Linked DNA regions of Kluyveromyces lactis. The protein of the gene in region 1 purifies or fractionates together with the protein of each later gene. This does not show direct contact. Links are inferred from orthologs where the notes say so. Each region holds a gene or a part of one and is shown on either strand. Other genes may lie near its edges.

The links. Proteins that work in one complex are often made in the same cells at the same time.
Region 2: the proteins of RPB8 (region 1) and RTR1 purify together in Saccharomyces cerevisiae (affinity purification with mass spectrometry; 3 studies listed by BioGRID). This does not show direct contact. The link is inferred for Kluyveromyces lactis from reciprocal best matches to the Saccharomyces cerevisiae genes RPB8 and RTR1.

Annotation. Positions count from the first base shown.
Region 1 is NC_006040.1:610,168-616,037, forward strand, and holds RPB8 (DNA-directed RNA polymerase core subunit RPB8), read right to left. Parts: upstream 1,373-5,870; coding exon 935-1,372; downstream 1-934. Other genes in the region: KLLA0_D07117g (mitochondrial fission process 1 family protein), read right to left, coding at 1-402; putative iron-binding protein ISU2, read right to left, coding at 2,181-2,723; HER1 (Her1p), read left to right, coding at 4,283-5,870. UniProt on the Saccharomyces cerevisiae protein: DNA-dependent RNA polymerases catalyze the transcription. of DNA into RNA using the four ribonucleoside triphosphates as substrates.
Region 2 is NC_006042.1:1,172,281-1,177,022, forward strand, and holds RTR1 (RNA polymerase II subunit B1 CTD phosphatase RTR1), read left to right. Parts: upstream 1-1,783; coding exon 1,784-2,419; downstream 2,420-4,742. Other genes in the region: EMP65 (Emp65p), read right to left, coding at 1-1,526; RRG1 (Rrg1p), read right to left, coding at 2,532-3,674. UniProt on the Saccharomyces cerevisiae protein: RNA polymerase II subunit B1 C-terminal domain (CTD) phosphatase that dephosphorylates 'Ser-5' of the CTD and regulates RNA polymerase II during the transition from 'Ser-5' to 'Ser-2' phosphorylation.

The DNA.
Region 1 (5,870 bases):
TCCTACCATTTTCCAATCTGGGGAGACGTTACTTTTCAATACCTTATTGTTCTCGGACAACTCGTCCCATGGTTTCCAGCCTGAAGGTAGCTGGTAACCTTCTTGCTTCAACTTCGCACGGTATGTTATGTACGACACATCACCAAGGATATACAGCCACGAAATACCGTATCCTAGTTTAACGACAGCTTGTGGAAAAACCGGTCTAAATGATTCACCAATATCGGAAGTGTACGCGACATATCTATGTGCTGTTAAAGCGATAGTTCTCAATCTGCTCGCATAGGCTGCATAACGGATATTGGAATCTGTAGAGTCCGGGAACTCTTCGTCATTAATTGGATCAGACTTCTGAACCGGTATATCCGTATCAGTTTCTACCATGTCTATTATCTCTGACATTCAACTTGACTGAATAATGCACCCTTGCCTATCGCCAAAGAATCAAAAAAAATATGGATTGAACACTAATAACCCCTGTATATGGGTAACCTAACAAAATAGACCTTCTTCTATATTTATATATCTACTGCTAATATGCTCCTTCAACGCCCGTCTCGAATATTTTGCCATCAACTGGCAATGGCCGAACCCTATTTATTGAGGTCATTGGATCCTAACTTTTCTATTTTCGAGAAAAAAGACGGCTTTAACAGTTTCTATGGTATCTCCTCTTATACAAAGAAGCACAGAATTGAAGAATCCTCGAGCAAAAGAAAGAGCAACTTCGTTATGCTGTGGTGACTGGAAGTAAGAACAGTTTGAAGATAGGAAGCTAAGATGGAAAGTTAAAAATGCATTAATATATGAGGAGAGGTGTAAGTAAAGGCCGTAGCTTCCGGAGGAGTGAAGAACCAGAGCTTTGACCTGAAAGTCTATTATACAGTTGTCGGTTTTCTATTTTGACTATGATATATAGTACCCACAAGATTTCTTACTTACGACACAATAAGTAAGCGTTTTCTTGTTTCAAGTTGTTCAAAAGTCTATAATTTCCCTCAAGTCTCATCAACAAGCCACCAAATGAATAGTATACTGCAAGCAAATCCTTGTTACCCTTAACTTCTTCGAATTTGTAGGCAGTTCCGTACATGACATAGTCATAATCATCTGCAAGAGATCTGGTTCCAGCAGGTGGTGCTCTCCAAGAGGTACCCTGAGGTTCCTCCGATCCGTCAAGTTGGAGAGAAGTTGTGATCATGACTGCAAGTTGATCTTGAGTCTTTATTGGGAACAATTCACTGTTGATATCCAATGTTAACTTACAGGATTCTTGTGAAGTCGATTGAGCTTCAATACGAGAGACCTTGTTGTATCTTCCTGTGTCCACTTCTTGAACGGTGAAAACGTCATCAAATAGTGCCGATGACATGACGTGTGTTGGTAAATGAGAGTACTGTTGTGTTGGTTCTAGTTATTAAAGTCGGTGGGCCAGTAGGAACACAAATGAGAGACGAAAAAGAAGGGAACTTATCGGAGAGTCTGTAGTGGGTATGAAAGGTTTCAAACTAATAATTTCACTGCTGATATGAGACTATCTACAGTGAGCCGAATCGAAAGCGCATCACATGTATATGATTGTCTGTCTCTCAGTTGTTCCTTCAGGCGATGAGTTACAACGAAATTTTTCAAGATTTTTCTTGCCCATGAAAAAAATATGTGTCCGGGTAAAAGAAACAACTTCGGGTAACGCTAATCAATTTGCCATCCCTTAGAAGTCCGAAGAATCCAGGATACAGAGAGACGGTCCGCTCAACTCTGCAACTAGTTGAAACGCTTGTCGGAACAGTCTGGATGATTATAATACAAATGATGAATGAACCTACATGTTAGTTATACACTAGATAACAACTGTTGTAAAAAAAAGGGTAGCCAAAAAAAAAAAAAAATTACGAATCATGGGCAGTTGATAAGGCACGATAAATGGAAGTACCTAATCTTGGAATTTAGCTCTCCTAGATAGCTTTCAGAAACTGTATGATATATTCGGAAAAATATAGTGTTCGATTTAACTTTGTAGTGGAGTTAAAATGCGAGGGAAAATCGTAAGTCAAACCAAAAGAATTAAGGGAAAGACGAGTATGCTAAAGTCCATTCAATGGACAAATGAAAGTTTGAGCCGGAGAAGCAATAAGAAAATTAGAGATTAACTAATTAATTTAACTCTTAACTCTAACACTCTATTTCAACTGTGTTGTAGGTCTCTTAGCCTGGTAATCCTTGATGGCAGCCTTGATGGCATCTTCAGCCAACATAGAACAATGCAATTTAACCGGAGGTAAACTCAATTCTCTGGCGATTTCTGTATTTTTAATCTTTGCTGCATCTTCCAAGGTTTTCCCACGGACCAATTCGGTCATGTATGAAGAAGAAGCGATGGCAGACCCGCACCCGAACGTCTTGAACTTAACGTTTTCTATCACTCCTGTTTCGTCGTTAACTTGGATTTGCAATTTCATCACATCACCACAAGCTGGGGCACCGACAAGACCCGTTCCAACATTTGGCAAATTCTTGTCTAGAGACCCAACATTTCTTGGGTTTGTATAATGATCAATGACCTTTGGATGGTAAAATCTAGCAGAGGCCATGGAAGGACTAGAGCCGACGGTAGGAGCAGTTGCTCTAGCAGCTGCTACACCGATTATTCTAGTTCCGCCTCCACCGCCGTGCATTAGTGCACTTCCCATCCTCTGTACTGCAAACATTTGTCCTCTAAACATTTTTAATTATGTGTATGTGTTTTGAATGTTGATCTGTTATCCTGAACTACTAAACCTTGATTCAATATCTGGATTATTGAAGATCTTCGCTCTTGCTATAAAATTACAGTGATGCATATTATATACACAATAAATGACTCTTATATATATATAATAAAACTCTTAAAAATCCAAAATTCCAGGCGTCGAAGTTTAAATTTCTAATACAAAATATTCCATAAGCGTGGTAAACTGGGAAAAAGTGTAAAAAGAAAAAAACAATGAGAAGGAACAAAGAAGATACGGGGAGAAAAGACAAAGCAGCAGAGGATACAAGCGTTAACAGCGGTTTCGTATTGTCTTATGTAAGAATCTTTATCCAATGCTACAGGGTGGTGTAAGTCTTGATAAGGAGCCGGCGTGTTGCAAGGATATCATTATCATGAACTATTTGCTATAGGAAGAAAGGGAAGAAAGAGCAGTGCAAAACAAGTGACCGAAATACAATTCCAAATCGGATTCGGATTTTAATTGGATTTGAATGATGATGATGGCAGTATGACATATGTTGACATTATGCTGTGCGCTCTTTTCTTCATGCCACCCAGTTTACAAAAGTTTGACTGACTCCTTTCACAATTTTTTTAGTTTTGATGGTTACCCTGGTTTAGTCTCCCGAGTCGTGTGAACAAATTCCGTGGATATTAATTACCACGGTAAGAACGAGCCTTCTCTTCCCTTTGGTCGTCCCGAAACCAGTGCCAGGGAAAAAAATATTGAAAGTTGAAAATTGTGGAAAAGGCGGCGCGGCCGGCGGCCCACACCGGCAACGGACGGAGGTCAAGCGGGGGATAATTACAGAAGGATAGTGGGGGGAGGGACTCTCCCCGCAAGCTGATATGGTGAGGTGTGTGGGTGTTGTATGGGAGACCGTCGAATGCAGTGCTGCGGACGAAGATCTCTTGTTTCCGTTTACTAGTGGTCTTCGGTGATTCATTATTGACATATTTTTTTCGCAGTCGTCGCCAGTTCGAACCCTCATTCGATCCTAACTGCCATCAATTGTTTCTTTTACATATACTACTTATATGTTTGTCTTTTCTGTTTTTATTCGTAATCCTATTTCCCTCCCATGCTTTATTTCGCTCAATTTTAATACATTTTCCAGACATAATACGATGAGCCTTCCATCTATCTTCCTTGTTTCACTCTTCTAAAATACGTCAGTTGATGCATGGATCTCGATCTGCTGCGGCCAATTGTACGGGTGCGTTACTTTTCTTACATTAATAATAATTTCTCTCTCTATGGCGGTTCTGCCCTGCCCACTTTGTAACTATTTTGAGAATCCACTTAGTTTTTCTGAATCTTATATTGTATCTTTACTATTTGGTGATAATTATAATTGTAATATTGAATGTTAAGTATATATTGTATTTATTCTAAGAGCTTAGAATTAAAGCTCACTTTTTTTTTCTTGGAAATGGAACGGTCAACTAGCCCAATATAATACCAGAACTAATCCCGTTACTGCCCAATTTTTTGTTTCTCAACAGACTATATCAGGAGTGTCAGTCTACATGCCGAATTCGTTGGATCTTGACGTCGAAGTGGATTGGTTATATAAGGGGAAGAAGAAGGTCAGAGCGAATAGGAGATTGGACTCCTCTTCAGCTCCACCGGCTACTCCCTCTGCTCCTGCTCCTGCTTCCACTTCTGTTCCTACTCCTGCTCCTGGGTCTGCTGGTGTTGCAGAAGCAACACCAGGGGCTGGCACTGACGGTGCTGGACCAGAGAACTCTGCAAGTTCAGAACCTGCTCAAACTCCAACTCCCGCGGCAAAGACTCGTAATCGGTCAAGCTCACACTCGCAAGCGAGTCTGAGCCAGACTGCAGCTAACTCTCCAAATACGTCTGGTCGCTCTTTGAAACCATCATCTGCTGTCCTTCGGAGGAGCAGCTCGCTGGGCGAAAAACCAAAGAAATCGTTGTTCGGTTCTTTGTTCAATAGGAAACCGCTGCAACCGCTGGAGTCCCATACAAACGTTTCATCCACATCATCTTCGGTTCCAGCTCCGGTGACTTCTTCCTCTTCTGCGTCGGGCCATTCTGCGTCGACAGCATCGTCATCGTCCTCGCCAACGCAGGCTTCGACCACAGCTGCTCCGGCTTCTTCTTCTTCTTCTTCTTCTTCCTCCAGAGGAATACCTATTCCTATCAACATCTCGCAATTTGCGTCTCATAGACAACAAATATCCCAGTTCCTTAAGGAACCAAACTCTCCGGAAGTTAAGGATATGGCGCCAATTCAACACGATCGTGTCGTGTTGAACAAAAATCCAAATAAATCGAAGCATCCACTGCCTATCAAAGAATTGACCGAGATTAATTTGAAAAGAGTTACTTTTGCAGTCGATGAATTTGGTATGGACCCTCCTCAACAAATTCCTTCGAGAAAGCCAAAACTGGGTAACGTTCTTGTTCCAAACGACATGATCAGTGATATCCCTTCTATATCTCAAGGTATTACAACGACAGCCCAACCTTCCTCACATGGGAATGATCAGCATGGTGCTCTACCAGCATCTGCTTACACAAAAGATTCTAAAGAATACCAACTTGCCTTGGAAAATCATAAAAAATGTCTTAAGGAATCGGAGAAACATCAGCAAGAAGCACATTATGCGGCTCAAAGAATTGCCTCCGAAGTTGCCGGTTTCAAATTAAAACCTTCTACTTCGACAGACCTAAAGCCTTCTGCCAATGGTACTGTGCCAAAATCTGGAGCAGCCACCGACGATGAAGCAAATGCTGAAGCGGGGGTTGTGGCAGATGAAAAGATTAAGTCTTTGGAGATTGATAAACCTATACATATGCATGAACATCATTTCAAAGAATCTTCGGGTTCTAGTAATGGAACTGGCTCCGAGCATGGAGCCAATCCATCTTCGACTAGCGGTACACAGGATGAGAATGGCAATGAGTTGATGTTAGATGTTGTCTACACCAGATGCTGCCATTTGCGTGAAATTCTTCCGATTCCTTCTACCTTGAGACAATTAAAGGAGAAAAAGGCACCTTTGCAAACATTAAAGTTTTTGAACCCAAGGCCCACTCTTATTGATATATTGTCCTTCTCTGATTTTATTGCTATTGTCCCTATCCACA
Region 2 (4,742 bases), on another chromosome or scaffold:
GATTTAGGATGCTTCAGATCTCTCTTGGTTCTTTGCTCGTTGAGGCTAGGTGGGATGCTTGCCTTCTTTTCAAAAGCAGCGAGTTTTGGCGATCCTGGTGGTGTAATTGTTGGTGAATAAGTTCTTGTCTGGCTAGAGTGTGTCATTTTGCGGGCATCCTCATCCATCATTCCTCTTCCAGCAGAGAGATGGCCATTGATATACAAAGGATCTGGGTGCAAGCTGGCTTGTTTGTTTTGGATATGTAACGTCCATCTCAACAGTATTGCTTGAAGTGTTAGCTTTGTGAGTAGAGCCCATAGGAATCCAAATATTATCAGAACAGTGGACCAGATGATATTATTCTTGATCGTTTGCCTGATGGCAGGCCATACCAGTACTAGGAAGGCTACTATTAGTGGCGGGAACGGCAAACCTAACCTCTTTTGGAATTGGATACTGTTGGATAGGTTGTCCTTGGAAAGAATTTGCAAATACCTTTCATAGATATGCGCTCTGATTCTGTTGAATTTGATAATATATGCGTGCTTGATCCAATCCACTATCAATTCACTTCCAATTACTGTGACAATCGGCCCTATAAATATACCAACTATCAAGGACTGTGTAGAATGAACATTCCATGAGTGTGGTAAAACATCGCGCAAGCTCTTTCTTGCTACGATAAAGTTTCTCACTGCAATGACCGTTAGAAATACGATCAACTGGAATCTTTCCACGACGTCAGCCATAGTCAATTGGAACAATCCTTCTTTATCAATTCTCTTGAAAACTGCAGATTTTAACTCTGAAAACTGCATTGACAACAGTAGCGTCCATAAGGAGTTAGAATACGAGTTTACCGCAACGTTCATGGCAAGAATCTGGTAGATGTATATCAACGCGTGGAAACTTAAACATAAACAACATGCAATATATAGCATTACCATCTCTGTCTTATGTTTGGCACTCTTCTTGAGCATGATAATTGAATATAGATCAAGGCCAACACTTGATAAGAGCTTTTCTGTCATCTCAAGAACCTGAAATATCATGTATAGTTTAATAGCATTTTGGCCCTTAATTTTATGATATATTCTTGAGGTGTCAAGGACATTCAATATCGAACAGGGTCCAAGAATCATCGCAGTAGTAAGAAGCTCTTGTCGTATTCTTTTAGGACCATCTCGTTTCACCACTAATACATGGAATACCCTAAGTGGTATAATGGTAAAGTAATACAAGAAGCAGTTCAAACAAGTCAATATCGCAAAGACAAAGAATTGCTCGACTTGGAATGGTACCCTCAGTATGTTCGCAATCTGCTCCAGATCATATTCAACAGACTTCTCACTCTGATCACATGGTTCCTCTTCGAATACCTTGGCTGTTTGGGGAAGAATCTCCTGGTATATAAAGTTCTTTATCGATGATGACACCGTATTCACGTCTTGTTCAACCGATACCCTTCTCCCAGCACCAGAACTGCTTTCCTTAGACCTCGCCTTTCGCCTTTTGAGGTGGGCTTCAGAATCCTGTGAACTCATTTGTTGAGGCACAACTGACCGGTTAGTGCTAAGGACCTTACTTCGTCATGGATATTTCTTTCTTCTGTTGTTGTTGTCTGCTCGAATTCGATCTACATTGAATTAAAATAAAGTCCTTGCTTAAATCACATCGAAGGGTTGATAGTGCCAAAGTAAAGAAGGTAAACTTAAGAAAAGCACATGAATAAGGGACCTCATACAGCTGCTTGACCAACTACGACCGTGAAATAATTTACCAAAATAATTAGACTATAGCAATGGCTACCATTGAAGAAATCAAAGAGGTTGTATTAAAACCCTATACAAACCATCGACAATTGACCATAAGGGAAGTGGAAACTATAAGTATCAATTTAATAGACTTATTGATTACAAAAGACGTGAAAGATGCAAGGACGATGAAATACATTTCAAGGTTCCTTACCAAACAGGATTATGCGGATCTAGTCCAAGAAAGGAACTTGGTGAAGCGTTGTGGATATCCACTCTGTAGCAAAAGCCAGGCGAGAGTACGTGATCCCTTCGCAGATGTACAGATGACCAATTTCTTAAGACAAAATAACCCATATGCATACCTTACAGAATACTGTACTAAGGCTCATTTTAGATGTTCACAGTTTTACCAGTTTCAGCTCTCAGACGAGGCTTTGTTTGCTAGGGTCGGTGTACATCTTGACGATTATGAGCCACCTAGTGAGATACAATTGCTCGAAGAAGTACTAGCTAGAGAGTCTGATGTTAAGCAGATGATTCGTGGTATGACTGATTTGAAACTCGCGGACGATGATAGTAGAGAGGAAATGGAAAGGGATATCAGTGACATGTTAGCTGATATTAAGATCGTAGAGATCAACGAGCCAAATATCATTGGAGATTTAGGACGAGATAGATGAAATGACAGAATGATGACAAGTACAAACATATTTGAGGTAGAGCATTTTGACTCTATAACTCAAAATATATGGACAATCCTGCATTATATAGTCATACATAAAATAGTTTTATTTACGATTTAACTTTCACTAATTGATCTGGTCTAAGGAACCTCCATTTAACAAGCAAAGCACCTAAATTTTTCTCTTCGGTAAATGGGTTTGTCGTTGGTAACTCTGCTTTCAAGCCCAAGAATCGTTCAAGCCTTTTTTTATAAAGTCTTTGGTTCAGTTGTTTATAATATTCATATTGTTTTCCGTCAATTAAGTGATCTCTACTTTCGGTGAATTTACGCTGTGTATTAGCATTTATCCGGTTGAGAATGTCCATATCTTCGAGGATTGGTTTTATCCAGTCGATGAACACTGCAGGGATGTCATTGGACTTACCACTCTTTATCTGTGTCACGACGTCATTGAATTTTCGTGAACATGGTTGTTTGTGAATCAATGTATATTCCCATTGTGCTTCTTGAAATGCATAGAAAAGTTTGGATTCACACTCCCTAAATCTATCGAGATTATCTTGAGCTCTAAGCCGTGCCTTAATTATGATTCCTGTCAATTTCTTAGACTGGCGTGCCTTCCTATTGAATGGAGATCGTATGAACCAAATTCGGGATTGGCCAGCGTTGGTGTAGTTAATAGAAACTTTAGGGGGGCCCTTGGCAATGCGGTACTCAATCCTGTACAAAATTTTACAGTATCTCTCGTGGATTGCAAGAGGTCTGAGTAGCTCGTCGATATGTTTACGAGGTATCGTTTTAGTCGGACCATATATTTTATAATATCTAAGAAGGTAGCGGTATAAATCACCATCACCAGGAATAGGTGCTAATCGCTTCTTTTTTTCCCTTCGACTCTCATCCCCCATATTTTCAGTTACCACCACACCAGAAATTGGTTTGTTCGCTTGCTGCAACGGTTCTGGAGCAGGCTCGATCTGCTCTGTGTATTTGTTCTTTAGAGCAACTAGCTTGATTATATCATCGCCGACAATATACTTATTCAGATGAGAGAGATCCTCCAATAATCCACGTACGTACCAGCCAGCTTTATGATTTCTGTTACGTCGTACTGCTTGTCTCAATGTGTTCCAAAGCTCAATCTGGAGATTATCAGTGGGTACGTTGGCCCTAATGTTTCGTAATGAATATCTGTACCATTCCAATACGTGTTTCCTATGACTTCCTATCTCTCCAAATGGTCGTACCATTGATATAATTCTGCTTTGTAGAGCTTCATCAATTTGATAAGATTGAGTAGGATGTACCTTGAATTCTTCCTGTTTTCAACTACTCATCTATTCATGTCATCGCATCTCATCTCATCTTGACAATAGTCATAAACTTTGAAAACATACAGATCAGCGTGCTATACATGCTTCGTATGGTGCCGTGTGAGACGTCATTTTACAGCAAAGTGGTTTCGTGGTCTAGTCGGTTATGGCATCTGCTTAACACGCAGAACGTCCCCAGTTCGATCCTGGGCGAAATCATTTTCTTTTTAATTTTTTTTTTTTGCCTCCTGTGTACTTTAAGCAACAAATCAGCAACAAATTCTACTACCAAGCTACACACAATATTGTTTGATTTGTAAACATTGTGGTTGCCAAGTTTCGGTTGAATGACTAGTAGAGCATTATCTCTATCCTCGAACTCCTTTTCTCATTTTATCACTTCTAAAGTCTCTTTATGTTCCATAATGATGCAAAACCATAACAATCTCCGCTATATTCAAAGTAACAGTGAGGAAGAAAACGACAATTATCTAAATCAGTTGTGGTACGTGATTATTCATGACACTCACTATAAATCATCCGAGCTACGCGATTACTGTTTCTAGTATTTCTCCAGCCCTGTTGCGTGCTGATCACTTCAGAGAACAGTCAAACTCCCAAAATTTGACCTAAATGGCTTCGTGGTCTAGAGGTATGATTTCCGCTTAGGGTGCGGGAGGTCCCGGGTTCGATTCCCGGCGGAGCCCCTGTGTGTTAAACACTTTTTATTTTTTTTTAATTTAATCAATTAATTGGTTTTTGGGCTTCGCGAAGCCCAAAATCAAAAACATTCGGAACCTCCCGCGTGCGCACGCGCACGCGCTTGCTGTTGACCAATCGCACTTTAAAGTGCGATTGTCAACACACGCATTTCGTGCGAAAAGACCAACCAACATACCACGCGATCCATGCTTCACAACTTTTACCAATGTCCCACTGACGAAAGGAAAAAAAGGGGAAACCCAGCGAACCCATGTCCCTATGTCTCGCTTCATGTCCCTTCCC